4 linked regions of the Pelodiscus sinensis genome follow. The protein of the gene in region 1 purifies or fractionates together with the protein of each later gene. This does not show direct contact. Links are inferred from orthologs where the notes say so. Each region holds a gene or a part of one and is shown on either strand. Other genes may lie near its edges.

Region 1 (6,935 bases):
ACGAATAAATGACCTCTTATACAAAACCACAAATTTTGAAAGTATTGTTATGGTTAGTGTGTAAATTATTACGAAGAATGTGTGTATAGTTTGTTACACCTGTTTCCTCTAAAAACAACAACATAATAGCTGATGTACTTGATCAGACCAATGGTCCATCTAGACTTGTATCCTACCTCCAACAGTGGCCAGGACCAGAGCTTCAGAAAGCATGTACGGAATGGAGAAGTTCTGGAGTGATACATTCCTGTCTTCTGGCAGTGGTAGGGTGAGGGTACATCTAGACTGCGGGGTTTTTCCAGGATACTTCTGCTACATCCAGAGAACGCATTCGCGCCTTCATTTTTTTTTATTTTTTTATTTTTTTTTTGCAGAAGAGCAAACACGATCTTTTGGGAGCCCTCTCTTCCTCATTTTAGGACGAAGAAGGGATCTTCTGAAAAAGGGGGATTTTCTGAAATTTGGCCCAGTGTAAACAGGCCAAATTTTGGAAAAGCCTCTCTCCCCCCCCCCAAAAAAAACCCAGAAAAAAGGTATGCAAAATGCAGTTGCACACTGACCATCTTGGCTAAGCAATTTATAGACCAATCCTTCATGAATTTATCTTATTCTTATTTTGAAACCAGACAGACTTCATTCTTTCAGAACATTTAATGCAGACAAGATATTCATTTTAATAAAGTAAATATAGGCAAAGAACTAAGATGTTAATTTAAAAATTAAAGTTATTTTACTCTTTCATTATAGCAATTTAAGATAAGTGAAAGCCAGCATCAATTAATTGCAGCACTAATAAAGTCTGTCAGAACATCATTCTTGCGTACCATAAGCAGTAAGAGCAAGCCAGGTATCTCACATGAATTTTGAAATTCAACATTGTTTAAAATAAGTTTAACAAATAATTAAATATTAATGAAGACTATTCATTGCAAAGTAATATGATGAAAACAACACTAAATTACATGGGGCTGACGGTGATTTCTTCTAGCTGTACTTACACTCCTCAATCTATCTACACTGGGTTGCTGTGATGCCCAATTATGCTTAGATTACACTGGAATGTTTGTTTCCCAAGGAAAAAAAATGAAACTGCATAAAACGAGTCTTGTTTTCCAGCTGGCCTGTGATGCTCTGAGAGCTCTGATACCTAGTAAGAAAAAAATATTCCAAAATAGGGGGAAGAGCTTCCCTTTACTAAGCCTATTTTATCATGGAGTACTAAAATATCAAAGTACCTAAACACACACACGCCTTCTAACATGTTCTTTACAAAGGAATCCAGCAGTTATGCATAAACTCAGGCTCAATTCCATTACAAATAACTAAAAGTTACTTCAATTATAGCAGGGAATGCAAAAGCACTAGAGATGCACATAGTTCTTTACAGACGATTAAAACATGACAGTTTGAGAGGTTTTTGCATTAGAATAAATACCTACAGGCTCCTACTTTACTAACATAGTAAGATACAGTCCTTGCCCTGCAGAGATGGCAATTTACACTGAATTTGTAATCTACATTTTAATCTTTAACAATAAAGACACAGATCTATCAAAACACCGACTAACCCTACCCATGTTTATCACTACTCTAATGAAGTCTTTCTAAAGGAGAGAGATAAAAGGGTAAGTTTTATGTTCAGTTACTTCAACAGTACCTTTACTATATAACTTCAAAGTAGGAAAGAACTGTTTGAATTAAACATCACAAATATAATTAGGTATCAGGGGAAACAATTGTGTCCACTACTAAACCAATTGCAGTTTTGAACCAGTCAGCAAAGTGGATAGCTACAATAACTTGGGGAAGTTAACTATCTCTTTGCCAGCATATAAAAGGAGTACATATCCTCATGTACACAGAAAGACACTAGTTTTGTAAGCATGAAAACTAAGCAACAAGTCATCACTTACCATCCACATTTGAGATACCTGTCCATTCACCACATAAAACAAGAGCTCTAGGGCATCCACCAATCACCAACACCCTTATGTTTCTTAGCAATAACGAAGCCATCGCCGTACCCATTTCTTCCACCGCTCCCCATTTGCCAATAGGAATAGAAGAACCACCAACCCTCCACAGATCCCCTTCCCTGGTGGCTCTGCTTCTACAGCAACTGCAATACAAATCTCACCACATGGCTCCACAGCCCTGAAATAACTTGCTGCTGCCTACACTCCGGCAGAGCACCCCACCCACACTCTCACACAATTGGGGATGGGAGAAGCACTTAATATCAATGTCCTCCAGTACCAGGGTGGGGATTAATCCATTTGTTGCAGTTATTTATAACAGCGCCTACTTCAGAGGACCCTATACGCGCTGCCCGTCCCCAACAGGGAGCCCTGAGGAATGGTGTTGTAGCTGTGGGTGAAAAGTTTGTTTTCTGTGTGTGACGGGGGGAGAAACAATAGTGGAGCCGGGCCACCCAGGGAGAGAGAGAGAGGGAGTGTCCCGCCCAGCCACCCCACGCGGGGGACGGACGCCTGGGGAGGCCCGCTTCGGCCACCCGAGGAAAGTGAGAACATACCCCGGGGGAAGAGAGGCCCGCCCCGACACCCCACGGAGGAAGGGGAACATATCCCCGGGGAGAAGAGAGAGGCCCATCCGGCCACCCACGGACGGCGGGGGACGGAGCCCAGACGAGAGGCCCGCCCCGGCCACTGGATGCGAGGGGACTTCAGAGAAACTGGGGCAGCCCCTCGCGGAGCGGGAAGGCGGGTGTGGTCGGGTCCCACCCGGGGAGAAGCAGCAGCCGGCCGAACTTACCCGTCTCCCACCACCACACACTTGATGGCCTGCATCGGGGCTGCTGCGGGGCCGGGTCTCCGCGCCTCCTGCTTCTACCTGGCTGGGAAGGTCCGTGAGGCGAGGGGCCCGCGTGTCTGCACCAGCGTCTGGCCGCCTCCGCCCTCAGCGCCTGGAAGCGGGGACGAGGCAGCGGCCACCACCCAAAGCGGGGAGAGCGGAGTGCTGCAGGGAAACAGGAAGCGACCGCCCCGCTCACATCCGGCCTCGCTGTGCTCAGCCCCCCCCCAACTGCCCCGCCCGGCCGGCCAGGCGGCTTCGGAGCCGTTCGGAAAAGCTCGGGCTCTCGTTCCCCGCGACAGCCGCGACTTCGTTAACGTTCGGCAACACGTGACTCACAGCGGGCTGGGCTTGGCTTCGGTCATCTTCGGCACTGTTCGGACGTGAAAGGGGCTCGGCTCCGTGTCCGTTACCTCAGGCTGGGGGGTGTCCATACTTGTGCTACTAACCTAGTCCGGGAACCTGGGGGGGGGGGGAGGGGGTGATGAACTGGCCTCTCGCTCCTGTTCTTGTCCTTATAGAATCATAGAACCATAGGGCTGGAAGAGACCTCAGGGGGGCATCAGTCCAGCCCCCTGCCCAAGGCAGGACCAATCCCGACTCAATCAACCCGGCCAGGGCTTTGTCAAGCCGAGACGTAAACACCTCTAGGGATGGAGACTCCACCACTTCCCTAGGGAACCCATTCCAGTGTTTCACCACCCTCCTAGTGAAACAGTTTTTCCTAATATCTAACCTGGACCTCTCCCACTGCAACTTGAGACCATTGCTCCATTCTGCATCCGTTACTGTGAACAGCCTTTCTCCAGCCTCTTTGGAACCTCCCTTCAGGAAGTTGAAGGCTGCTATCAAATCCCCCCTCACTCTTCTCTTCTGCAGACTAAACAGACCCGACTCCCTCAGCCTCTCCTCCTAAGTCTCAGCCTCCTTATGGGCAGAGGGAGACTTAGTGTGACCATTGGTATCAATCCGTCCTGTGACACGGGGTCCTGCTAAAGTCACCACGTCAGAGGCAGGGCGTCGTACCTCAGCGTGAGGCCATCCCACTCAAACCCTAATCCCGCTTCCCTCGGGCTGTCGAGAGATGGTGTCATAGCCTGATGTAGGGCTATAAGTCACCATGGTGCCTACCTGTCAGGGAGGCCCTCGGGGAGTCCCTTTAACACTGAGCCTCAAGATATCTCATTGGTACCTCAGGAACAAAATGCAACCTGGTGACATTAGGGTGTGACATGGACGTGTCATACTACAACATAAAGCCACAAAGTCAGCACCAGAGACCTTATCACATTACCTTTTTCTCCTTTTAAACATCTGTTACAAGTTCAGTTCAGACAAGGGCAACAAAAATTATTAGGGGCATGGAACAGCTGCCATATGAAAGAGTGATTAATAAGACTGGGACTTTTCAGCTTGAAAAAGAGATGATGGGGGGAGGAGGGACATGATCTATAAAATATGACTGGTGTGGAAAAAGTGAATTAAAAGAGTTATTTATTCCATCCCATAATACAAAAGCTAAAGGTCACCAAATGAAATGAATAGGTAGCGAGTCTGAAGAAAAGGAAAAATGTCTCAGAGGAGTAACTGTGTTAATCTTTAAAAACAGCAAGCAGTCCTGTGGCAACTTAGAGATTAACAAATATATTATGTCATGACAACCACGAAAGCTCATGATATAACTTATTTGTTAGTCTCTAAGGTACCACAGGACTTCTTGTTGTTTTAAAACAAAAGGAAGTACTTCACACACCATTCAGTCAACCTGTGGAACTCTTTGCCAGAGGATTTTGTGAAGGCCAAGACTATAACAGAGTTCAAAAAAGAGATAGATAAATTCATGGAGGATAGGTCCATCAATGGCTATTATCCAAGATGGGCAGGGATAGTGTCCCTAACCTCTGTTTGCCAGAAGCTGGGAATGGGTGAGAGTGGATGAATCATTTGATGACTACCTGTTCTGTTCATTCCCTCTGGGGCACCTGGCATTAGCCAATGGTGGAAGACAGGATATGGGGCTAGATGGACAGTGAGCTGACCTAGTATAGCCATTATAATTTAATTTAATTTAATTTATTTATTTATTTATGTATTTAAAAATATTTTACCTCACCTCTCTATTTAAAATATAATTTTTAAAACATATATATATATATATATATATATATATAAAATTAAAATACGATGTTCTCATGTCCTGTTAGAAGGCAACCGAAACCACATCTTTAACCACATCTTCTTTTCAATGTGCCTTACATCTATAAATACCTCTATAAATAGTTAAATTATTTAACTGTGTATTCAAATATTTATACCAGAAAAGTTTTAGACATATATATAACTTAAGATATTAAAATAATAATTCAGTTTTGGATGGTTTCCATATATAATAGAAAACCACAGATCCATTCCATCTTTTTAACATGTATTTGTAAAGTGATGCATTTGAAATTATAGCTGAATTTCTCCCTTAAGCTAAGTATCCTATGAATACTGTACAAGGCAGTTGCTTACAGTTGTTTTTTTATATATATATTCCTTTAGGTACTTTAGGGATTGTTAACAAACTGTACTATCTCTATACCCCTGTTATTTACTTTATTCTTGCAATTCTATGTTTTATAAAATACAAACAAGATTTTCAAACATAGAAATAAATAATACAGTGCTGTAAATTTATACTGGTCTTTTTAGACAAGTTTTTTGTCCTGAGGATCAGAAAAGTGAGCGATGGGCCAAGGGGACAGACTGAAGGGTTAGATTCACAGGGTATGACTAGACTACATGCCTATAAATTAAACATACTGACATAGTCAATGAAGTGGGGATTTAAATATCCCCCGCTTCATTAGAATAAAAATGGCCACCGCGTTGTGCCAGCTCAGCTGTTTGTCGGCACAAAGCGGCAGTCAAGACGGGGATCGGTCAGCAAGGAAAGCCTTTGCCAACCAACCCCGTCTAGACTGCTGCTTTGTGCCGACAAACAGCTGAGCAGGTGGCCATTTTTATTCTAATGAAGTGGGGGCTATTTAAATCCCTGCTTCATTGACTATGTTGGTATGTCTAATTTACATGCCTCTGTCGGCAGAGGCATGTAGTCTAGACACACCCAGAGACTGACAATATGCTCCAAACCTCAGGATCAGATAACAGGCTAAAGGAAGTAGAGTTGCCATGTATCTGATTTTCAACTGGAACAACAGTAAAAAAGGGATCCTGGTGGCTCCGGTCAGCAGCACTGACCAGGCCATTAAGGGCATGTCTACACTAGGAAATTATTTTGAAATAACTAAATTCAAAGTAATAATTCCCAAAATAACAAAGTCAAAATAGCACATCCTTGCTGTGGGGGAGCCTCAAAATTAGTCTGAGGCAGGCTCCATTATTGTGGACATGCTACCTCAACTTAGAAGCACTGGGGGGTAATAACTTTGAATTATTCTGGGGAATACAGGCAGTCCTCGGGTTACGTCGGTCCAACTTACGTCGGACCCCTAGTTACAAACCGGGGGGGGCCGCGCTAGTGCGGGGTGCCTCCCCCACTGTCGCCGCCTCTGGCGGCGCGGGGGGCGCTTCCCCCCAGCAGACCAGGGAGACGCGGAGCTAGCGCCCCCCCCCCCCAGCGGACCAGGAAGATGCAGAGCGGCTTTTCTTGCCACGGAGGACGTGGGTGACGGGACCGCCGAGACGCACTGTGGTCCCGCCGCCCACGTCCTCCGCGGCGAGAAAAGCCACCCCGCGTCTCCCTGGTCTGCTGGGGGGGGGGCGCAGCTAGTGCACCCCACCCCCAGCAGACCAGGCTTTACTCGCCGACGCCTGGGATAGAGCAGCTGGGGTGCTGCCGGTTTGGTCCAGTAGCGCCGAGCAGCGGCGCTGTGGGACCAACCCAGCAGCACCCCAGCTGCTCTGCCCCAGGCATGTCCAGTTCAGCCGCTGCTGGTCAGTTTCAACAGCGGCTGAATCTGGACGCCAGTTCCGACTTACATACAAATTCAACTTAAGAACAAACCTACAGTCCCTATCTTGTACGTAACCCGGGGACTGCCTGTAGTTACAAGGCATCTCCACTGTAAGTTGCTCCAGTATACATTTGTTCTGCACTAAAGTCATTGACACTTGTAGGA
Region 2 (7,960 bases), on another chromosome or scaffold:
AAAAGGGTTCCAACTAGAGTAAAAAGTTTGGGAAACCCTGGTCTAACCAGCTTTCTGTCTGTCTTATACTCCATTTACCCAATCCATATTCTTTAACTTGATGGCAAGAATATTGTGAGTGACCATATCAAAAGCTTTGCTAAAGCTGGCACGGGGGCTTTGGGAGGACCAGAAACAACTTATTTGAATATTCATAATTTGAGTAATGAATATGCAAATATATGTTATCAGTCCTCCAAAAGTTCGTGAATGGATTTACTGGTCCCCATGTCAAAAAGTTTGGGAACCCCTGGTATAGAGTATTTGATTAGTCGATTGGGAGCTTCTGCCTTTGAAATGTAGCAACAGCCCCAGGGCTCTTGCTATACTTCCAAGGTGAAAGCGCTGAAGCCCAGGATCAGCTGGGGATTCCCTTGCTGACCCTGGGCTCTGTGCAGCGCTGCCGCTTTGAAATGCCGCAAGGAGCCCGACACCACACTACTGCTTTGAAATGCCATGGGAAGTCTTGAGTCAGCTGATCCTGGGCTCCATGCGGCATTTCAAAGCAGCAGTGCAGCACGGAGCCCCGGGTCAGCTGTGGAGTCCCCAGCTGATCCTGGGTTCCATGCGGCACTGCTGCTTTGAAATGCCATGAGGAGCCTGACGCCGGGCTCCCTGCAGCATTCAAAGTGGCAGCACCGCACGGAGCAGCTGACCCTGGGCTTCGTGCTGCACTGGCACTTTAAGTACCCCCCTCGTCTCCCCTCCCTCGCTGCCTCTCTCGGATAGAGGCGGCAAGTGGGTGGGGGTGGGGGGGGGGGGGGAAGCGGGAGTGACTAGTCAACTATCCAGTAAGCATCCTCTCAACTATCCAGTAAGCATTTCCTTATTGGATAGTCGACTAGTCCTTCACATCCCTACCTACATGTAGAAATGAAAATACTCTCACTGTTGTCTGCCACTAAATAACACTATAAAAGTCCACTGGAATAACCTATATCTAGAACACATGAGAAGACACAAGCATTGTGTAATCTAGACTATGGGTTTGGTGCGCACACACTTCCAAAGACCACCTCCATTTAGAAACTTACAGAAACCCTAATTACTAGGGAACGTTCCTATATTTGGTCCAATTTAAAAGATATTAAACACCTCATTACACTCTAGCAAACTTCACAGAACAGATTCTACCAAATTCAGATAGTTCCTCCAAATATTGTTATTGCCAAAGGGGAGAGGGTACTTTTTGTACATGTTATGGGCAAGGATGCCAAATAACATTCTGCTGGTAAAGAGCACATACATACATTCATTTGACAGACAAAATTATTCTACAAATATAAAAGAGGAAGAATTTCAACTTAGAAAATATTATTGAATATTGAATAATATTGAATGTAGATATGATGAAATACAAACTATTCAAACAAATATAATTTATTGATAGATATAGCTTAGAAGGTATGAAATATAGTCAGCCCCAGATGCAGGTTTATATTCTATGCTTTGCCAAAGCTTAGGCACTATGAAGCCAAGCCGGGAGGTCATTTGTGTATCCTTCTGTCTGTTCATCTTTGATGGAGACACATCATAGGCTTCTCTAAAATGTTCAGCTGCCATTGGTCCCCAACTTCTAACTTCAGTGGGACTGCTCACACACTTATCATTAAACATGTGCATAAATGTTTTCAAGACTGGGCTTAAATGCAACAGAATATTCATATTATTGATACCTGCATTTGGATCAAGACAACAATATTTTAAAACTAAGATACAAAAGAAAAAAAGTGTGTTAATCAAGTATAACTGTCCCTTACCATGTCTGTAGCCAAACTTAGTTGCAAAGGCAGTCATTCATCAGAGGATGAAATAGAGAAAATTAGTGAGCATAGAGGTCAGTCATTACAAGTAATAAAAACTGATTGCTCTTATTTAGTCTTGCAATAATATAATTTCTAACAGGATACCTTTATTAGAAGTAAAAAGCAAAACAGTTTTGCAAAACTAGGAATCTACTGGCCTTCCATGACACTTCCAGGAATGCATATCTTTAAGGGGACTTCACTATGCAGGTACAGGTAGTAATTTCATATTTAGTCTGTCTACAAGCACTGAATCCACCTATGGCATAAACAAACAAATAGTTGATTACAAAATTGTGACATTTAACCAAAACAGAACAAGCACCCGCCTTATGTATTTGTATTCAATAAGAACCAATAAATGTCATATATATATTCCAATTCCCACCAGCTAACCCATTAACCATTCACATCCCTAATACAGACTGTATAGCATTGCAAAATTATTTATCCATAAATATGAATACTGTTATTGTACTGCATTTCTGTTTTATTTGTTCTTTCATTTGCATAGAAAAACAAAGATAAGCACTAAATGGAACAGGAACACTTGTTTCAGTATTTCAGTGTGATTTGATTCATCTTACAAAATATAAACCCTTTAAATCAAAGTTACACAATACTGTAAGATAAAGATAATGAGCGGAGACTGCTTTTGAAAAACTTTTGATCTTCTCACCTCATGGAATAATGCCTAAGGGTACACTGGTTCAACACATTGCAATGGCCTTTGAATTCAAGAGGTGTGTGTTAGTTAAAAGAGCAATAAGATTCAGGGTCTCAGATCTAGTCCTTGGCAGACAATGTTGTAGGTGGTGGAATTTATATTATGGTGCAGCATATGTCTGAATGGAGAAGCAAGGCATCAAGGAGGGAGTGAGGGTATATGGAAAGAATAGATAGGAATGGACTGCTGTGTGGGTCACATACTGATATAGGGTGTGTCTAAAGTATACCCCCTGTTGGCAGAGGGATGTTAATTAAACGCATCGAAAGTGTAAATGAAGCGGGGATTTAAATATCCCATGCTTCATTTGCATAATCGCATCCTGACGCTGTTTTGAACAAGCGCCATTTCGAAACTGAAACCACGATTTAGACGTGGTTTTTCCGACAATGGGGTGATTTTTTTGAAAAATCAATGAGGAGCACAGGATCGTTTGAAAAATCGCCCAGTTGTCGGAAAAACTGTGTCTAAATCGCGGTTTCAGTTTCAAAATGGCGCTTGTTCAAAACAGCGCCAGGACATGATTATGCAAATGAAGCACGGGATATTTAAAACCCTGTCTCATTTGCACTTTTGAAACGTCTAATTTACATCCCTCTGCCGACAGAGGGGTGTAGTTTAGACTTAGCCATAATGTCTGGAACAATGCCCCAGTAGCGTTTTTAAAGTAGGGATTGTGACTGCGTACTGGGTTGCAGAATGCCAGGCACTGGGTCTCGTTGCTACAGGGTGATCAGTGGGGTGCTAAGGAATGCTTCCTGCCTGTCTGCAGATTTTGCTGCATCCCAGAAGCAGCCAGCAGCAGACCCGGCTCTTCGGGATGAGGGAGGAAGACTGCACAGGGGTCTGCACACTGCCCCTGCCCTGAGTACTAGGCTCCACATTCCCATTGGCTGGGAACCTGCTGCTAGCTGCTCCTGTGGTGTAATATGGGTCTGTGGTGCCAGAACAGGCAGGAAGCTGCCTTAACACTCCTGCTGTACTGCTGACCTGGAGCCACTTGAGATAAGCCCCTCCTTCCACAGTTGCGACCCTCCCCCAAAAGCTGGAGCCCCATCCTACAGTCCAAAGCTACTATCCTCAGCCCCACCCCGGAGCTCACACTTTAGTCAAATTATGTTGGTTTGCAAGCATCAACAATTTTCTTCAACAAAGTCACGAGAAAAAAAAGTTTGAAAACCACTGGCATAGGCAATAATGCTTTGGGAGATAACTCCACACAAAGTGCACTGAATGTAAATATTCCCACCTGACCCCTGCAAGGGATTAAGACTCACCCTAGAATATTAGATTAAATTATCCATAGTGTAGTTTAATATTTACTATTTGCATTATCATAGCACTTAGGACCTCAACTCTGTTGTGCTAAATGCTGTACAAACACAGAACATTCCCTGTCTCAGGGAATCTTACAATCTATGTAAGGCTAAAGAGAGTAGGTAGATAGGGGGATAGACAGGGGAGTACAGGGAAATAATGATATACTGATTAGCATAAGAGACTGTGGCATCAGTGCACCAGGGTCCTAAAGTCAAAGTTTTTGTAGCAGAATACAGCTATTCAGATTTTCCATGGCAATTTTGTCCCTCCCCTATTTTTTACCAAATGTTATCCCTTTAACTTTTCCTACTACTTTTTCACATTTTTTTCTTGCAAGTAGGAATAAGAGATCCTCCGGAAAAGGGCTTTATTCCGGAGGATCGCGCCAGTCTAGACGCTCTTTTCCGGCTTTTCCCCAAGCCGGAAAAAAAGCGGCGGCCATGTTTATTTAAATCCCACGGGGGATATTTAAATCCCCCGCGGATTTCCCTATTCTGACTTGCCTGCTTTGCATGCCTATTCCGTCTTATGTGGCCAGTCTAGACGTAGCCTTGGAGTTTAGTTGGTTAGAATACAGAAGGAGAAGCGAACAGGTTGATTATTTGTGATATCATAGGAATAGGCTTACTGTATAACACAGAAGCTTCAGAGGGTAGTCCAGTTAGTCTGTACAGAAAAAAACAACGAATGGTCTGGTAGCACTTTATAGACTAATCAAAACAGGTAGATTCTATCATAAGCTTTCGTGGGCACAGCCCACTTCTTCAGATGACCGGAGTTATAACACAGCCACATCACCTCAGGAAGATGAGGGCATAGCACTGCAACTGGAAGCAAGCCGACAAGCTGCATAGACAAACTGAGGGTAGACTGATTATTTGAGAGATGTGGGACAAAACTGTCTGGAACCCAACATTTTCTGTGGTGCTCTAGGCTCATGCTCTAGGTCAAACAGGGATTCACATTGTTTTGTTACAGTAGCTAGGCTCTGTGATGGTACTAATGGGGGAGGGGGAGGCAATTGGCAAGAGTCACATACTGTACATCTTAGCTTCTCTTGTACTGACTTCTTGGTAACAGCGGTTTGGGCACGTTCACCTGAGCAGGGGCAGGCTGTCTGCCTGTCTGAGAGCAGGTCTGCTTGGGCAGGGGCTGCAATGGGAGGCTGGTTTGCGCTGGCCCGGAATATCATTCTGCCAGACCTGTGGGGCGCCGCACAGCCGCTCCCAGCTCTGCCAGCAATCCCGGCGGACGCTTGGCTCCTCCAGCCGGGCTTGCAAGGGGCTGGGACTCCCTGAGCTGACTCCGCCCGCACCACATGACTTCTCCATCCGCAAGAGCAAACTTTTCCCGTCCCGAGGCTGGAAAATGGCGGCTTAGGAGCGGAGTGCCCGCATCCCATCCCGGCTCGGCGCCTCCCCAGCGCCATGACTCGCTGGGTGCCCACCAAGCGGGAGGAGAAATACGGCGTGGGTGAGGCCCTCTCCTCAGCTCCCCCGGGGTCCCGCTTGTTTGCTTGGACTCAAACTTTGCACAAGTTTGTTCTCCAGCGGGGAGTCCCGGAGTCGGCGCTCCCTGCCCTGCTCCGGCTGCCGCCTTTATTCCCTTCCCTTCTGCCTGTTGTCCGCATCTGCTCCCGGCCCGCGGCGAGCTCTGCCCGGGGGGTTGCCCTGCCTGAGCTCGCGGCTGCAGCCCTGTGCGCTGGGCTGGGGCGGAGAGGGCGGGCAGGCGCGTCTCTGCCAGGCCTGGCGTAGCGGGGGTGGGAATGGGGAGCTGCCGCTTCCCTGAAGCTCACATTGGAAATCGCATTTCCTCCGCGGGATTGGCGGGCACTTCCGTGGCACTTCGCTGCTAAGTAACGTCCCGCGGGCCGCCCTTCCCTAAGGCTGCCCAGGGTACAACGTGGGACCCGGGCTGTGAACTTTCTAGTTGGGCATTACCCTGCCCCTGACAAATATCTCAAGTCCCGCTCCTCCCCACATCAAGCCTGGTTTTGATTTTATCGGCCTTGACTAGCAGGAGCTATCTACATGATTCGCCTCCTCTTCCCCCCTGTTCATTGTGCAGCCTAATTGCAGGCGGCTTAGACTCCTGCCCGGTGAGCACAGGTTTTGTCATCAGTGTATTACAGGGTTGTTACCCCCTTTATTTACGGCTTTGAGTTTCTAAATGCGTACTTTGAAAACGTCGGAGAGGGTATATGTCAGTGACCAGGAAAACAAGGCTGCCCTATCCCTTTTTTTTGCTCCATTTTAGATGAGTAGAATGGGATACAGTTAGCTTATATCTGATTTTTTGAGAGAGCTCTGCTACTAATGGGTGAATAAACTGTAACATTCTAGAACTGATCCCAAACATTTTAAAGGGTGTTTGTCAGTTCCTCTCAGAAAGTATTCATAAATGCAGGGTGTATAAACAATGCTTATCATGCACAAGTGAATATTTTGACAACATTGAGCACACTCTGTCTTCATTATTCCACATTAAGAAAAGCAAGATTTGGGGGTAGAGAGAGAAAAGGGCGCACTGTTCTGCAGAAAATAATAATTAGATATTTCTCAGTTTCTATCTTCACATCTTCTATCCCCCTGAAATGAGAGGGAAGAATACATCTGGCTTTTAATTCAGAAGTCTCCACATTAAAGTCAGTATTTTGGAAGAATATTCAGATAACTAGAAATGTACTGAATTTCAAAAGCAGATGCTATGAGTAGAAGGGAGCAGATTATATCTTGCATAAATACGAGTGTTTCTCTTGAGGAAGGAAATATAAAATCTGCAGTTCCATTTGGAAATGTTCATTTGAAAGGTTTTTTTTTCCGGACAATTAGTAGATCTCTTAGCAACGTTGCTTGCAAATGTGAAGATGAATTTTAGTTTGACTGGTTCTTTATGTGTCTAAACCTTTTTGTATTTATTTACTTTTTTTGAAGAACAACTGTATGTTATGGAAAAGGAAGTTCTGGGACTGGGCAGGAGGAGCATAGTGAACTTCAGAGGTTTGTGTTGGGTAGTGCACAGATGTTAAGTCTTTGGGTTAGAGTGTCCCAAGTTTAGTAGTACACCCTTTCTGCCCAGATAATACACAGAACAGTATTTTGTGTGCAAGACACCCAACTTCAGTAACAAGGAAAATGAAAAAGGAATTTCAGAAATTAAAGCTGCTACGGGATGCATGTATTTATTTCAGATCACACGGTATATAAATTCACATCTGTATCATCTGAATTATTTAACATGGTGGGATGAATTAAGGCAGTGCCACAGAACTACTGATTTATATTCAAGTGTAGATTTTATAGAAGGTCTTTCACAAGTACAACAGTGTGTAATTCTGTTTTGCTGTCTCTTCTCCAGTACCACCAAGGTGCATTTTGGAAGTTTAATGGTAAAGCATGGACAGTTAATTCAGTTTCTAATATATAGTACAATACAGTTAACTAAAAGCTAGGAAGCTAAAAATTGGGTGAGGAATTTGGAGAGCTTGCTGTTCAGGAGCCAAAGTGATGTATTTTGGTTTCTTTGGGGATATGTTGGAGTAGAGAGTAAGGATTAGTAGTTATAATTTAATTTTTTAAGTAAATCTGGTATCCATTGTGGGAAACTATCACGTTTCAGAGATCTGGACTTTACTGATTGAAATGGAAATACTGGTTTTGATGTTTATGAAAGAGGGAGTATTTTGGAACTACCTGACACATTAGTGTTAAATCAGTGTTTTATCTCTTTATAATAGGAATAACTTCCGAGTCTGTAGCAGAATGGTGCAGTGTCTTTATATTTCTTAATTCTAAATATAAGTTTAGTCCATAGTCTAATGATCATAGAAAAATCTCATGCTTTTATTTGGTGTAACAACTTCCTGTTTTTTTCCACATTAGCTGTGAATGATGATCACTAGCTACATTATGGAATTTCTCTAATGAATTTCAAGGGTGTGGGAGTTGAGAATAGATGTGTTGTTGCTATGAAGGAAAATTAGATTTGATGCTAAGTGAACATAGACATTTTCATTTGCCTGCACTGTTAAAATCTGGCTCTCAGAACAGGTTTAGGATGAATATCCTTT
Region 3 (6,873 bases), on another chromosome or scaffold:
CCAGCAGACCAGGGAGAGGCGGAGCAAAGCCGCGGAAGACCCGGGCGACGGGACCGCCCAGCAGACCAGGGAGATGCGGAGCAGCTTTTCTCGCTCTGGAGGACGCGGGCAGCGGGACAGCGGCGCGTCTGGGCGGTCCCGCTGCCCGCGTCCTCCGGGGTGAGAAAAGCCCCGTTCGTAAGTACGGATCCGACATAAGTCAGATCTGCGTAACGCAGGGACTGCCTGTAGTCTATATCATTATCCCATAATCTTTTGCTTATCAGTTAATCGACTATACTAGTACATATCTTAAGGTTCTGATGTGTCTGCTCATCAAAGCTGTATCTCACCTTCTACACCAGGGGTTCTCAACATGTTTTCCTTCTGAGGCCTTACCTCTCAATATACTACAAAAAATGTCACTGCACACCTGTACCCCAACAGCTGTGTTTCCGTATAACCAATCAATTGAAAGCCAGAGCTGGTGTTGGGGGTACCAAGCATCCAAGGCTCTACAAAAGCTAAATTATTTGGGCTTTGGCTTCAGATCTCAGCAGCAGGGTCCAAGCTTTGGCTTTCTATCCAATACTCACTGGTTTCCAGCACCATTCCTGCTCTCTGGTTTATTTTGTTGGACCTCCTGAAACTGGCTCACGGCCCTCCGAAGAGGTCCCATTGTTGAGAATCATTGTTCTTTACCACTGTTTATAGACACGCTACTTGGACATGCAATATCTGTACCCTACAACCACCACATATGTAGACCTACCCATTGTTTTAGTTCTGAAGAATGTGTTGACAACATACCTCACTGGAAGTAGCAGGTGGACAATAGCAAATTTACACTAGCAAATAATTCTAAAGGTTGTACTGTGACTTTACTCCAGACCCTTAAATGATTACACTTTACTATAATATATTGAGCACAACAGAGTTTAACTAAAAGCTGTAGTTTCCATCACGATAGTACGAGATTAATATACACAGATTGATTTAACAGAGATTCAGCATTAAGAAAATATTGCTTTTATATAAATTGATTTGCAGCATAATACTTGAGATACAATATTTAAATAGCAATGTTACACCAAAGATTAGTTTGACAAACAGACTTTGAAATACATTATTACCTTTCAACAACTATACCATGCAACTACAGACAACACCCTGTAGGTGCATACCAGGAAAACAAGGAATGCACTTTTATAGAATCACCTAACAATTGCTGGCAGGCAGTATGAGAGTCAATGACAGCTGTATTCTCAAAATTAACAAATCACATATGGGGTAACTCACATCTGGTGTTTAAGCAGAAGGTAAATCACAAAACTTGTTTTGCTATTGTACCATACATAGTCCATTTATAAAGATGAAATAAAAGTTGTACACATCAAATGTCGAAATAAAAAAAAGGTTTAGAAAACAGAAATTTCCCCTAAAACAAGTCTTGCAGTTATTTTTATGTCAATATTATTTCTGCTACTTTGGTTCTAGAGTGGCCATGATCACTAAAAAAAAATTAAAAACAGCATGTAAGAAATATTAAAGCCTCATGCTGCATTTTCTACTTGCTATGCTTTACTCTTGTTGATACCTTCAAAGGAATCCAGTGGGTTTCCTTTAAAACTGAAATATTTGCTAGAAATGTGAAAATCCAACATCACAAAGCAAACTAAAACATCTAATTACTATATTTATTTCTGATTCCAAAACACAAAACTGAATGAAACAAAATCATTCATAGACACATGAATAATAGATCTAGAAGGACTTCCTACATGCTTAAGATACAAGTACAGATTACTTTGGGCTATTACATTTTATAATTATTGTAGCCACACGTTAAACTGGCACAGAGGGATGGATGTTTTGGTGGCTGGAGGAGGCGGAGGGCTACATGGTGTTGGGATTGCTGTTTGGAGGTCTTTTGCTCACAGGCAACAGCGGAACAATGGTAGCAATCTTTCAAATTGGCAGCTATTTCCAGTGAGTATGATTGAATCTGCTTCTCTTCAAAAGGCAAATCGCATCTAGCTCCATCATCCATTCCCACCTCTGGCCTCTACAGTCCTCATTACATAAATTAAGCGGAGGTGGCTGGGTCAGGGTAGTAGCGAGCGTCTTGTGACAACCAACGAACGCCCCCCCATCAATTACTGACCCCAACAATGGAAAGGTCCCGCCCCGTGAGTGAGGCTCTGCACTGGGTGCTGCACTTGGAGGCGGGGGGGGGGGGGGAGACATTTCGCTGCTAAAAGTGCAAAACCACCCTCACCCCGCAGCCAGAGGCGAGGAACTGACACACCTGTCCCTGCAACAGCCGGAGGAGGCTCGGCGCTCACCCCCCACCCAAACACCAGCTGCAGCCAGCTAGAGAGGGACCCCACTGGCTCACCCCCATTGCTCCCTTCACCCCAGGGCAGATGGGGGGCACCCTGAGGGGGGAAGGATGGCGAAGGTGTCACTCTGGGTGGGGATGGAAGGATGGCGGGGGCCGATGAAGGGCCGCTGCCCTCCCCGCGGTGGGCGCAGGTCACGGCGGAGGAGGCGCAGACTGCGGGGCACTTACTCTCGCCGCTCAGCGCGCTGCTCCCCTCACACCTTCATGCCGCCGACCAGCCCCGCCCTCTCAGCGCCCCCGAGGCTCGCGCTGCTCCCTGCTCGCTACGAATCCGAAGTTCAAACGGCTCCTTCCAACCGCCTCACCCTGCTGGAGAGACTCGCTGTGGAGGGGAAGGACCCGAACCCGGCGCGAGCTGGGGGGCGGCGGCGCGGAGCTCCCCAAAGGCTTCACAATAGACACAGAGCGGCGCGTGTGTGTGCGCGTGGGAGGAGGGGCTTCTCCCCGGCCCGGACACACTCGCCAAGCGTGTGGCGGCTGTTTACTCAACACCTGACCGGCCTTCGCCGCCTCCCCTAGGAACTAGGTGAATGCCTCCCCCAAAATCCGTGACATTGAGTATTAGGGAGCCCCGATTTCTCCACACACCCCCTCAAAATGGCAGGTGGTATAGTCCAGTTCGTTCGCTAGTCGAGCTGGGGGGGAGGGGCCGAAGGCATTGTGACGTTTTCTAAAGCCGGCTTCGGGCAGCCAATGGGAATGGGAAAGGAGTGGTTAGACGGAGAGTGGGTGGAGCTGCTTGTTGCTCCAAAGAGAGTGGGAGGGGCTGTTTCCATCGAGTGTCTCCTGCTGTACTTAGCGCAGCGTGGTTAGTGCGCAGATGCATGGTTTCTGTTCGAGGGTCCTGGCGGTACGCAGAACTCTCTGAATATGTGCATGTATCGGTTTCCTCGTGTATGAAATAGGGCAGTTAAAAGTTACTTATCTGACAGAATAGTAATAGAAATGTAGCGGTGTTAGTCTGGTGTAGCTGAAGCAAAATGCAGGACTATGTAGCACTTTAAAGACTAACAAGATGGTTTATTAGATGATGAGCTTTCGTGGGCCAGACCCACTTCCTCAGATCAAATAATGGAAGAAAATAGTCACAACCATATATACCAAAGGATACAATTTAAAAAAATGAACACATATGAAAAGGACAAATCACATTTCAGAACAGGGGGGGGAGGAAGGTAAGTGTCTGTGAGTTAATGATATTAGAGGTGGGGAAAGGTAGCTATCTTTGTAATGGGTAAAGTAGTTGGGGTCGAATTTTAGCATGAATGACAGTTCAGAGGATTCCCTTTCAAGTGCAGATGTAAAAGGTCTTTGTAGCAGAATGTAGGTAGATAAGTCGTTGAGATAGTGTCCTTTCTGGTTGAAATGGCAAGAAATTGTTTTTTCTTTGCGATCCTGTCTGATATCTGTTTTGTTGGCGTTAATCCTTTCGCGAAGAGTCTGAGACGTTTGTCCAATGTACATAGCAGATGGACACTTTCGGCACATGATAGCATAAATTATATTTCTGGATGCGCAGGAATATGTGTTCTTGATCTTATAACTCACTTGGTTAGGTCCAATAATGGTATCAGCAGATATCACCCTTACCTGACGGAGAGGGTGAAGTCCATGTGTGTGAGAAGAAGTGACAATGCACGCATTGTTATCAACTGCATAAAGTTCATATTGAAACCAACAAAGCAATTGATGGATTACAACAATCAGGTTGACATTAGTGCTGCCTTGGACAGTAGAAGATGTTGGTTGCAGAAGAAGCCAACCTGTGGTGATTCATAGGTTTCAAGACCTTATTTCCAACACATTAATTTCCAATCTGAATTTGTCTAGTTTCCGTGTTGGCTGATCACTTACCGGTATATCATTTTCTACTAGAGTGAATGCAATCCAGCGGTTGGAGGTTGAAATTAGGCAAATTGTGTTTTCGGTTTTCCTAGATGCGTTGGAATAAAGGGAAGCAGAAGTGTAGAGTTCATATTATGGCAATATTTTGTTTATAATTTACAGATAAAATATTGAACCAAGCATCTAAAACCTTGATTCAAGGTTGTTTTTTGGGGGGGGGGGAGTTTAAGCACACATGTGAGTAACGGGTAGAATCCTGCAAATTCTTGGATATCTGCTTTATATCCACAGATGTGAATGCAGATTCCGTGGTTCATTTTTGCAGATACAAATACAGATTTTGTATCCATGAAGGGTTCTCTGGCTATGGGACCAGCTCCGTAGCACAAACAATGTTTGGAAAATCAGTATCTATTGAAAGAGCTTATGCTTACTGTGTATCTACCACTACAGTACCTTCCATGGATGATTAGCAGTACCATGCCATCCTGGTTCATTAGTCTTATTCTCAAGATCTTTTTAGTTGTGGGGGTTTTACTATGTAATTCTTTAAGTATTTATTTGGTAGGGAAAGAGTGCTTGTCATTCCGCGGGAACAGGGAAAGAGCCTTTTTCTTGTGAAACCTGCTTAGACCCGCAAGACCCATCACATTCGACCTGTCCTGCTACGGCGCGTTGCACGCTGGGATTTGCAGTCCTTCCTGTGAGTCCTGAAAGATTAACCCTATTTCAGCACCTTGGGAAGGGAACTCTGCTTCCCAAAATCATGTTTCGTAAAAGACGCAGAAAATTATAAGTATTTTATGTTAAAAACTCGCATTTACGTAATTTCCATTCAGTCGCAACAAAGCGCAAATCTATCGGATCAGAGGAGCTTATGTAACTGGCAGGACGCGTTTGTTCCGGGTGCTCCCGCGGTTCCTCCTCGCGAAGATGTCGGCAGCTATCGCCGCGCTCGCCTCCTACGGCGGCTCCGACTCGGGCTCCGACTCGGACACCGAGGGAAGCTCCCGCCGCCCGGCGCTGGTGGCCAGCCGGGACGCGGTGCTGCACCTCGCTTCGCCGCCCCCTGGCCCGCAGGCCTTGGCGGTGGACGCGGCCCCGGAGGTGGCTGTGAAGGTAGGAGGGAGAGGAAGGGCCTGGGCTGGGACGGGCCGATCCCTTCCAACCCCCTGCGCCGCGCTGCTGGGCCGGTGCCAGGCGGGGGACAGCTGCGCGGGGAGGGTTGCCCCTTATTGTGTGTCTCGCTTGGGCGCTTCAGGGGAGGCCGCCTGCGGCCTTGGCGCCCTCAGCTGCGCCACTGGGGGCTCGGGGTGGAGGCTCAGGTTGCTGGACAGGCATTCGGGGCTGGCAGGGGCTCGGTCCGGAGCGCGCTCATATCTCGGTACCCGACCCCTTGAGTTGCAGGCAGGTGTGGGGGTGGATCTTTCTCTCAGTTCTCTTCTGCTGTGGCACCTTCTTAACCAGATTGAAGTCTTAGGCCTTGTCGCTGAGCTTCCAAATCAGGTCTTGCACCATTCAGATCGCTTTCGGGAGAAAGGTGCCTACGATGTGATATGTGCATACTGGTGAAAGGGGGAGAATCCGCTTCTCGTGTTACCCAAGGGCTACGTCTAGACTGGCATGAATTTCTGGAAATGCTTTTAACGGAAAAGTTTTCCGTTAAAAGCATTTTCGGAAAAGCGCGTCTAGATTGGCACGGACGCTTTTCCACAAAAGCACTTTTTGCGGAAAAGCGTCTGCGGCCAATCTAGACGTGCTTTTCCGCAAAAAAGCCCCGATCGCCATTTTCGCAGTCGGGGCTTTTTTGTGGAAAACAAATCTCTGCTGTCTACATTGGCCCTTTTGCGCAAAAGTTTTTCGGAAAAAGACTTTTGCCCGAATGGGAGCAGCATAGTATTTCCGCAAAAGCACTGACAATCTTACATGAGATCGTCAGTGCTTTTGCGGAAATTCAAGCGGCCAGTGTAGACAGCTGGCAAGTTTTTCTGCAAAAGCAGATGATTTTGTAGAAAAACTTGCCAGTCTAGACACAGCCATGCTGTTCCCCCTTCCCATGCTGGGGAAGGGTGTTTGAGATTAATGCGCTAATGCTGACCTTCCCACTCTCCCACGTGATGGGATTGTGCTAACAGGTGTCTTCAATCCACTGTTCAGCTCACCACTCTTAGCAGCATGCTTTTGGGGTAGGAGAAAGGTGAATAACATCAGAGTGAGGCTCAGACTTTTAGGATGTTGTCCTCTTCCCTTCTCATGCCCCTTAACCCTCCCTCCATTTTGTATACACACTTCAAATTCTAGGTATCTTACCCCATTTCCTATCTAATAGTTTCAAGCTTTGATTTAGAGAATTGATTATAGGATTCAGAATCTTAATTTGATATTAGAGGACTGTACCCCCTGCTTGCTATGCTCACCAACCCCACTCTCTCTGGCGGGAGGTAGCCTCAGTCCCCCCTCCCCCCCCCCCAGCTGCCTGGTAGGGTCAAAGCCTTGCCAGCCCTAGCTCTCCCCCATCCGTGGGGGCTTGCCAGCTCTGGCACTCTTCCCTTGGCTGTGGGGGGGGGGGAGCGGTGCCTTGCCAGGCCTTGTGCTCTCCCCCTGGCTGCCAACGGGTGAGGAGGTGCTGCTCTGAGGCTTCGCTG
Region 4 (7,725 bases), on another chromosome or scaffold:
CCCAGTACGGCCGTTCTTATGTTCTAAGGGTCACCACATAACCAATCTGAAAGTTTACAGCAAAACTAGCTGAACTTCTATTTTTAAGAATCAGCACAGTCATTTAGGCCTTGATCTCGATACCTGTTATATAGGGTTCCACTTGCACTGAGCTAGGCTTGGGCATAGGAATCAGCTTGCACTCATTGGGGCGATATAAAAGGCCCATTCTGCAACCTCTACTCATGTTAAGCAGGTGTTATTTATGTAAGTAATTCCTTTGACATCATTGACTTTTTTGTATGAGTAAAGGCTACATCTCTACAAATATATTTTTCAGAATCAGGCCCAATATTTGTAAAGCATTTTAGGATCCTGTGGTATTAATTGGGGTCTTTTAGTCTTACCCCAGTTGTGAACTTAGCTGTTATAAAGTATGTGAAAGTTTATGAAAGGTTCCAACCCTTTCTTCCCCACTATGAAGGATTATCTGACAAAACAGAACTAACATATGCTCTTTGTGAAAAAGGGATTTCAATAGGTTCTGGTTAAATTTATTCTGTTAACCACTCCATTTGAATTCCAGAATATCTTCTGATTTTTTCCCCTTTGTGTATCTCTTTTGGCATGGATTTTTGACTATGTTTGCCATGGGATGAAGTAGGCTAATGTCTCTGTACACAAACCCTCAAGTCTTATTTAACTGTACATAACATGCACCACTGCAACATGGTCATGTTAATTCCTTTGATTCTCTGGAACCATTTATTCTATCACAATTAACACAACAATACTTTGTGAAGTAAGACCTTGGCTAAATGTAGTCTTGACATTACTACAATATAAAGTCAATTAAAGCAGGGTTAAAGATTGCATGAACTTTTCTTTAGAACCAACAAATCTCCAGCACTATCAAACTACTCAGTTCTCTCTAGAATTAATGTTATTTTTAGTGTATGTTCCTCTTCCCACATTTAGCTTCATCTCAAAAGCTGCTCAACTCCGCGTCACTCTAGTATATTTACAAAATCTCCCTGAATCCCTGTCGTGAATATTGAGTAATCTCTACTCTTGTGTATTTTACTAAATCAAGATATCATCATAGAATCATAGAACTGGAAGGGATCTCATTGAGTCCAGTCCCCTGCCCTCACAGCAGGACCAAGCACTGTCTAGATCATCCCTGATAGATGTCTGTCTAACCTGCTCTTAAATATCTCCAGTGATAGAGATTCCACAACCACCCCCCCAGGCAATTTATTCCCATGTTCAACCATCCTGACGGTTAGGAAGTTTTTCCTAATGTCCAGCCTAAATCTCCCTTGCTACAATTTAAGCCGATTGCTTCTTGTCCTATTCTCCGAGGTCAAGGAGAAGAATTTTTCTCCCTCCTCCTTGTAAACATCCTTTTAGATACCTGAAAATATAATGATCACTTTAATCTCCTGCTACTTATTAATATTTAGGAACATTCACACGGGAAACAGATTAGCAGAATAATAATTTTTAAAAGTGTAATAGTGATAAGTGGAATAACTTACCTCCACTTTAAGCGTCACACAGCCTTTTAAGAACTCCTGAATGTTACTGATGCAATCTGCTTCATTTTTGGGCTCCAGACAATACTAAAGAAACAAAACCCAGACATGCTTACTGTATTACCATCAGGATAGTCTTTGTTCAGCAGGCTTGCATAGATATTTGACATGTGCATCTATTCTGAATTAGGGAAGCTTTTTAGGGGGAGGCATGGGGGTGGCATGCAAGCTGTCAAACCAGGAAGAGCCGCTGGAGGAAGTGATGCATAAATCTAAATGGTCGGCATGTTGTTTTGAATGTCAGCATATGACAGTGCCCTAAGTGATAATGAGAAGTTTGACCTTTATCAGTACATTGCCCAAAACCACCAGTACATACATAAATGGAGAGAGAGATGCAGCTAGCTCAACTGATTTTTTTAAAAAAAAGATTCCTGTTTTATAAGAGAAGGAACCTGTTTTTTCTGTCATTTTACTGACAGTTCTTCTGTGTTGCCATTTCCTTATCTCTCATCAGACTCCTTCCGCTTTTATGTTTGCAGTTGCTTATTGCTGATTTGAACTGTCTGCCTACATACCAAATAAAACTGTAACACAATGTACTAATTTAGTTTAGCAGCTTCAAGATATTGCAAATGTATTGGCCAGATCAAATTTAAACTAGCACTGATGACGGTTTACTTTTATTCCCACTTGAGTCCCTTCTCCATCTTATTATATTTCCTGATTAGCAAGATATTAGTATATTCCTTTAATGAATAGTTTTTAAAACTTAAGCATTATATTGTCAAGTCATAGATACATTATCTAAAAACTTGGAGATTTGACTTTTGGTTGAGTAAATATTCCTGTTCAAAATTCAAGAGCATGCATACACTATATGTCAGGATTTAAGCCATGCATACATAATTCAGCTAATTCCAATTGTATATGCAAGCAATACTTTTTTTGTTTCATGTTGCTGACAAAATCTAAGAGATTATAAACATTAAAAAAGCTACAATCCAAATTTATATTTTACTTAGATCCAGCTAACAATACAGTATCTTTGAAACAAGATAAAATACTAAAGTCTCTCTCAAACACAGATGGCATCTTTCCTTTCTTCCCTCCTCTAAAACAGAGTATGTCATGATTCCCTAAGATATTATACTCCAGTTTCTCAGAGTATTAGAAACATGCAGCAGTGTCACAAGATGTTTCTGCCCTACTGACTACCAAAATGTACTTAAGAAGTTACCTTTTCCACATATCCTGGAAGAAGCCGATTTATCAATTTGCAAAGTACTACTCCATCTTTCAGAGAAGCTTTCAGGAACTGCTCTGGATCACCTATCATCTTTTTGGGCGAATTTAAAACTCCTAATGAAATAAGCCATGTCACGATCCGCTCTTCTGAATTCATCGTTGAGAGTTCTGCCTTCAGTGCAGAAGTTTTCTGCAGCTACTAGCTCTAACCCACATCCGTGATTGCATCTTCCTGCCTCTTCTAGTGACTGCAGGGCTAAAGTTTGAAACAACTGTACTGAAAACCTCTGACACTTGTGATTTTTATAAAAACTAGAAGCTATGCTCATTCTAAAGGAAGAAACAAGCTTGTGGCTATATAAATGGCTTGAGATCCTTTATTGTGCTCTCAGTGAAATATTTACTGTTGCTCGTAAATAAAAAAGGATATCCTCTCTGCTTAGAAATTTGTATCACACCCATCAGTATCTGAGTACTTTATCCTATCATAAGGTCTTTATCCTATCCCACAAAGTCTTAAGCATATAAGTAATTCCCCTCATCTGTAGTCTCACTGAAGTTGATAGCAATATATGCATAACTTTATTCATATATGTTAAGTGTTTGCAAATTTGTGCAAAAGCAAGACTAGTCAACAAGAGCTTGAAAATTTAATTGCAAAAAATCATGAAGACATTCTGGAATAATTTTGTTTCACTGTGTGAATTTCTTTCACAAATCTTACATAAAGCATTTATAGAATACATTGGATTTTTCCATGTTCAAAATCTGAAATATTTTTACACGAATTTTTCAGGCAGTTTAGCATCATGGTGAAATTTCTTCTATTTCCCACCCTAAACATACATGCCTCCCATTAAGAATCACTTTTGAAAAGTTAACCCAAGGACAGAAAAATTATAAATGAACACTGATCAAAATATTGATAGGAACATGAAAAGTTTTACAAAACAATGTAGAAGAAAGCACATTTCTTCTTTGAGTGCTTGCTCATGTGCATTCCAATATGGATGATTGTCAGAAGAGTTTTCCCTAGTGGTACCTGTTGGATTGGCTGTAGCACCCCTGGTAGTGATGCCTCACAGCATCATACATATACCCCTGCTGACCTGACTCCCACTTCAGTTCCTTCTTTCCACCAGTGACGGTTGCTGGAGCTTTGGACTTCTTGCTTAGCAAGTGGTTCTTCCCTAGTGCATAGTTAAGAGTTCTTCATTGTGTCGATAGAGTTGTTCTCACTCAGGCTCTGTCTAGACTGCATTCTTCTCTCAAAAGATCAAAAATTCAAATGAAGCGCGGATTTACAAATCTTGTGCTTCATTTGCATAATTGTGTCCGAGTGCTTTTTCGAAAAAGGGTTTTAAAAAAAAAAAACAAAAAAAACCCGTAGTCTAGACGGGGCTCCTTCAAAAAAAAACCAACCCCTTTTTTGAAAGAATCCGTACTCCTGAAAAAATGAGGTGTACCGGTTCTTTCAAAAAAGTTTTTTTTTTTTCTTTTTCTTTCAAAAGAACCCCATCAAGACTGCGGAGGGTTTTTTTTTAAATCCCTTTTTTGAAAAAGCGATCGGATGCAATTATGCAAATGAAGCGCGAGATTTGTAAATCCATGCTTCATTTGAATTTTCGATCTGCTTCATTTGCATTCCTCTTTCAAGAGTGGAATGCAGTTTAGACAAGCCCTCATACAGTTAGTATCTCTGCGGGCGTTTCCCTCTCCACTATCTGCCAAGTCTGTGGGGCATGTAGCTGTCCCAAGGGTTTAAACAATGTGTTAAGTGCAGGAAGCATATGCTTACAGGTAACCCACACACTGACTGTTTGCAGCATCTTGGAGAAGGCCATCTTCAGGATAAGTGTAGCTACTGCAGGGGTTTCAAGCCCCAGACCAAACACACGAGAAATCAGAGGCTTAAGTTCCTGCTAATGGAGCTGGCACTTCAGCCCCATGATGCAGATTCAGCTCCCTCCATCTGTATTGTGCCAGCCTCGGAGTGGGACACTTTGGCAGTAGGAGCACCGGGACTATTGTCACCGATCCCCCACATGTAAGGTGAGCTTCTTGGCATAGCACCACTCCCATTCACCGGTGCCTAAGAAGAAGAAAAAGACTGAGGATGCTCTCCTTTCTAGTAAGGCCCCCGTGGCCACCCATGCAGCACCAAGCCTGCCCAAGTCGGGCCCCCCAGCACCATTGTCTCCAGCACCCAGGGCAGGGCTGTCAAGTCCAGTGTTGGTCGACTCTCCAGAGCCCATCATGGTGGAGCAGCACCACCATCTGCTGACAGCATCGCTGACGACAACAACAGCATCGCCCATGTGGCACCAGCCCTGGCTCCTCCATGAGCAGACAGCTCCTGCGGTGGTGCCAGTGATGCTACTTACAGTGTCATACGTTGCCCTTTCTATGTTTTTTCTGGCCCCCTCGGCACCAGGCTCCTTCTCTTTGATGGCTCCTGTCTCACCCGTACACCTGCCCTGCAGCGCAGACACTTTAAGCCCCTGCAACCTGCCCGGTTTTTCCCCCAGTCCTCCCACCATAACAGTTAGTGCAATAACAGGAGGGGATCTCCTCAATCCTCCACCAACCAACACCTGGGCACCTCTCAACAGCCCTCCATGCCCAAGTTCCAATTTTTAGGGTGCACTTGAGGACAGAGCACCAGACTCAGTTCCAGATCCTGTCCCTCCCTTTGGGAACAGTTTGTCCCACTTTTACCAGGCATGGTCGCAGAGCACCTCGGACCGGAGCGTCCTGAGCATGGCAGAGTGGGATACTCTATCCACTTCTGTTCCCTTCCTCCCCACCATGCCCCCTCCCCGTCCCTCTTCAGGGACCCTTCTCATGAACACCTTCTGATGCAAGAGGTCCAGTCACTCCTCACAATAGGTGTGATAGAGGAGGTTCCTCAGGAGTTCGGGGCAGGAGGTTTTACTCACGATACTTCCTCATCCCCAGGTCTAAAGGGGGTTTACTCTCCTTTCCTTGGCCTCAGGAACTTAAATGCATTCATATAAAAACTATAGTTCCACATGGTATCCCTGGCCTCCATTATCGCTTCCCTGGATCCAGGGGACTGATGTGCTGCCCTCGATCTCAAGGACACATACTTTCTCGTTGACATCCCGACACACAGACAGTTTCTGCATTTTCTTATGTTGGGCAGACATTACCAGTTCACGGTGTAGCCATTCGGCCTGGCCATGGTGCCCTGAGTTTTTACAAAGTGTATTGCAGTGGTGGTGGCTTCTCCACTGGAATGAAAGTTAAAAAAAATTTTCTCAACAAGCTGTAATTCAGGACCTACCATACTGAAAGCAACAGAGTATTCCACTCTATTTTGGAAAGTTAAAAGCAAATCTAATTGCAGTGTGCATAAAGAACTTCCATGAGGCAGATTTGGGAGAAAAGAAAGCCCAGTCTATTAGGCTATGTCTAGATTGCAAGCCTCTTTTGAAAAAGAGCGTTTAGACTACAACCAGTACTTTCAAAAAAGCAAGCCGCTTTTTTGAAAGAGAGCACCCAGGCAGTCTGGATGCTCTCTTTCAAAAAAGCAGTTTGCATTACATAAAGCATTTTTTCGAAAGAGCACTTTTGAAAAAAGACATTCTTCCTCGTAAAACGAGGTTTTCCGCGGTTGAAAAAAATTGCCGTGTTCTTCCGATTTACTTTCAAAAGAACGCGGCAATGGTCTAGATTCAGGGGAAGTTTTTTTGAAAAACTGCCACGTTTTTTCGAAAAAACCCTTAGTGTAAGACATTGAAGTATGTGATTTAGAATAGGGCAGCTGTCCTTTCTTCTGTTCCTTTCAGAACTTGCAACACCAGAGCCAGAACACACATCCTATCTAGTAACAAGCTCATGCTTCTCAATGGCTGAGGGAATATGGTTCATCAAGGACAAAAGACAAGATAGGTCTTACGCGGAGTTATAAATGGTTATCCTTCAAAGCAGCAAATGACAGCTCAGGAGGGGAGAAATACTCAGCAGGAATAGGCTCTATGTGAAAACAATGTTTAATTGCTAATTGACAGTGGGAAGTCTACTGCTACAGGTGCCGTTTTCAGGGAGAGTGTACCCTTATTGAACCACTAAGGTCCACATGCAAAAATGCACAATTGCATGAGCATTTCTGCTTGTGGAACTTGTCCCTTCTTTCCTGTTTAGCTCTGAAAATAGGGTAGCCTATTAGATTGGAACACTAATAGTTAAATGGCTCCACAGTGGCATTGAAATGATGGCATGCATGGCTAAGGGTGGATGATTTACAAGACAGTTCAATAGCCCTAGCAGCTGTTCTATTGGAGTCATATTCTTCCCTTCTCTGTCATATTTTTTCCAGGTTACTTGGCTATTGTTCAAAATAAGATAGCCCTATTCTCTAGTGGGAAAAAGGTTAATCTCTTGCAGTGGCAAACTACAGTACTGTTCCTGACAGATCACACTGTCTTCAGCAGAGGGCTGAGGCTGTCTGCACCAAGCCTTTGGAACAGTTGAGGGAAAGTTGGCTAAGCAAGGCTGCCTCTTTGCTTCTCATTATTCATTGGGGAAAAAAAGTTGCAACACTTCCATTTATTATGCAGAGTATCCCTTGGAGGAAAGGAAGTCAATGAGTAGACTTAATATGAAAGTCTAAATTGGAGAGGGTGAGGGAGATTGGACACCAGATTCTGCATAGTAAGCCAAGCTCCAACAAGGATGCTTTTTGCCATAGGAAAGAGGTGCATGGAAAGAAGTGGACTGCTTGTTGCACATAAAAGAGGCCAAGAATCCACCACCTACTTATTATTAAGGATATTTTGTGGCAGATGTCATCTCTGCTGCATCTTGGTCTTCTGATAACATTGAGTGACAAGCAAAAATACTAAAGTCCAGGAGTCATCTCTAGTTCTCAAACATCCATAATGCACTTTCCCAGGTATTAGAGGGCAGGTTCCCACATTCCCTGAAGATTTTTTTC

What was found.
Region 2: the proteins of RAC1 (region 1) and DOCK1 purify together in Homo sapiens (pull-down; 6 studies listed by BioGRID and IntAct, with this or other methods). This does not show direct contact. The link is inferred for Pelodiscus sinensis from reciprocal best matches to the Homo sapiens genes RAC1 and DOCK1.
Region 3: the proteins of RAC1 (region 1) and WASF1 purify together in Homo sapiens (affinity purification with western blotting; 3 studies listed by BioGRID and IntAct, with this or other methods). This does not show direct contact. The link is inferred for Pelodiscus sinensis from reciprocal best matches to the Homo sapiens genes RAC1 and WASF1.
Region 4: the proteins of RAC1 (region 1) and ARHGEF6 purify together in Homo sapiens (affinity purification with mass spectrometry; 3 studies listed by BioGRID, with this or other methods). This does not show direct contact. The link is inferred for Pelodiscus sinensis from reciprocal best matches to the Homo sapiens genes RAC1 and ARHGEF6.

What each region holds. Positions count from the first base shown.
Region 1 is NC_134726.1:23,058,028-23,064,962, forward strand, and holds the start of RAC1 (ras-related C3 botulinum toxin substrate 1), read right to left. Parts: upstream 3,015-6,935; 5' UTR 2,808-3,014; coding exon 2,773-2,807; intron 1-2,772. UniProt on the Homo sapiens protein: Plasma membrane-associated small GTPase which cycles between active GTP-bound and inactive GDP-bound states.
Region 2 is NC_134718.1:52,380,425-52,388,384, reverse strand, and holds the start of DOCK1 (dedicator of cytokinesis protein 1), read left to right. Parts: upstream 1-4,939; 5' UTR 4,940-5,318; coding exon 5,319-5,364; intron 5,365-7,960. UniProt on the Homo sapiens protein: Involved in cytoskeletal rearrangements required for phagocytosis of apoptotic cells and cell motility. Along with DOCK1, mediates CRK/CRKL regulation of epithelial and endothelial cell spreading and migration on type IV collagen.
Region 3 is NC_134713.1:78,569,451-78,576,323, forward strand, and holds the start of WASF1 (actin-binding protein WASF1), read right to left. Parts: upstream 3,008-6,873; 5' UTR 2,552-3,007; intron 1-2,551. Other genes in the region: CDC40 (pre-mRNA-processing factor 17), read left to right, coding at 5,162-5,347.
Region 4 is NC_134723.1:35,326,987-35,334,711, forward strand, and holds the start of ARHGEF6 (rho guanine nucleotide exchange factor 6), read right to left. Parts: upstream 3,024-7,725; 5' UTR 2,923-3,023; coding exon 2,758-2,922; intron 1,605-2,757; coding exon 1,521-1,604; intron 1-1,520. UniProt on the Homo sapiens protein: Acts as a RAC1 guanine nucleotide exchange factor (GEF).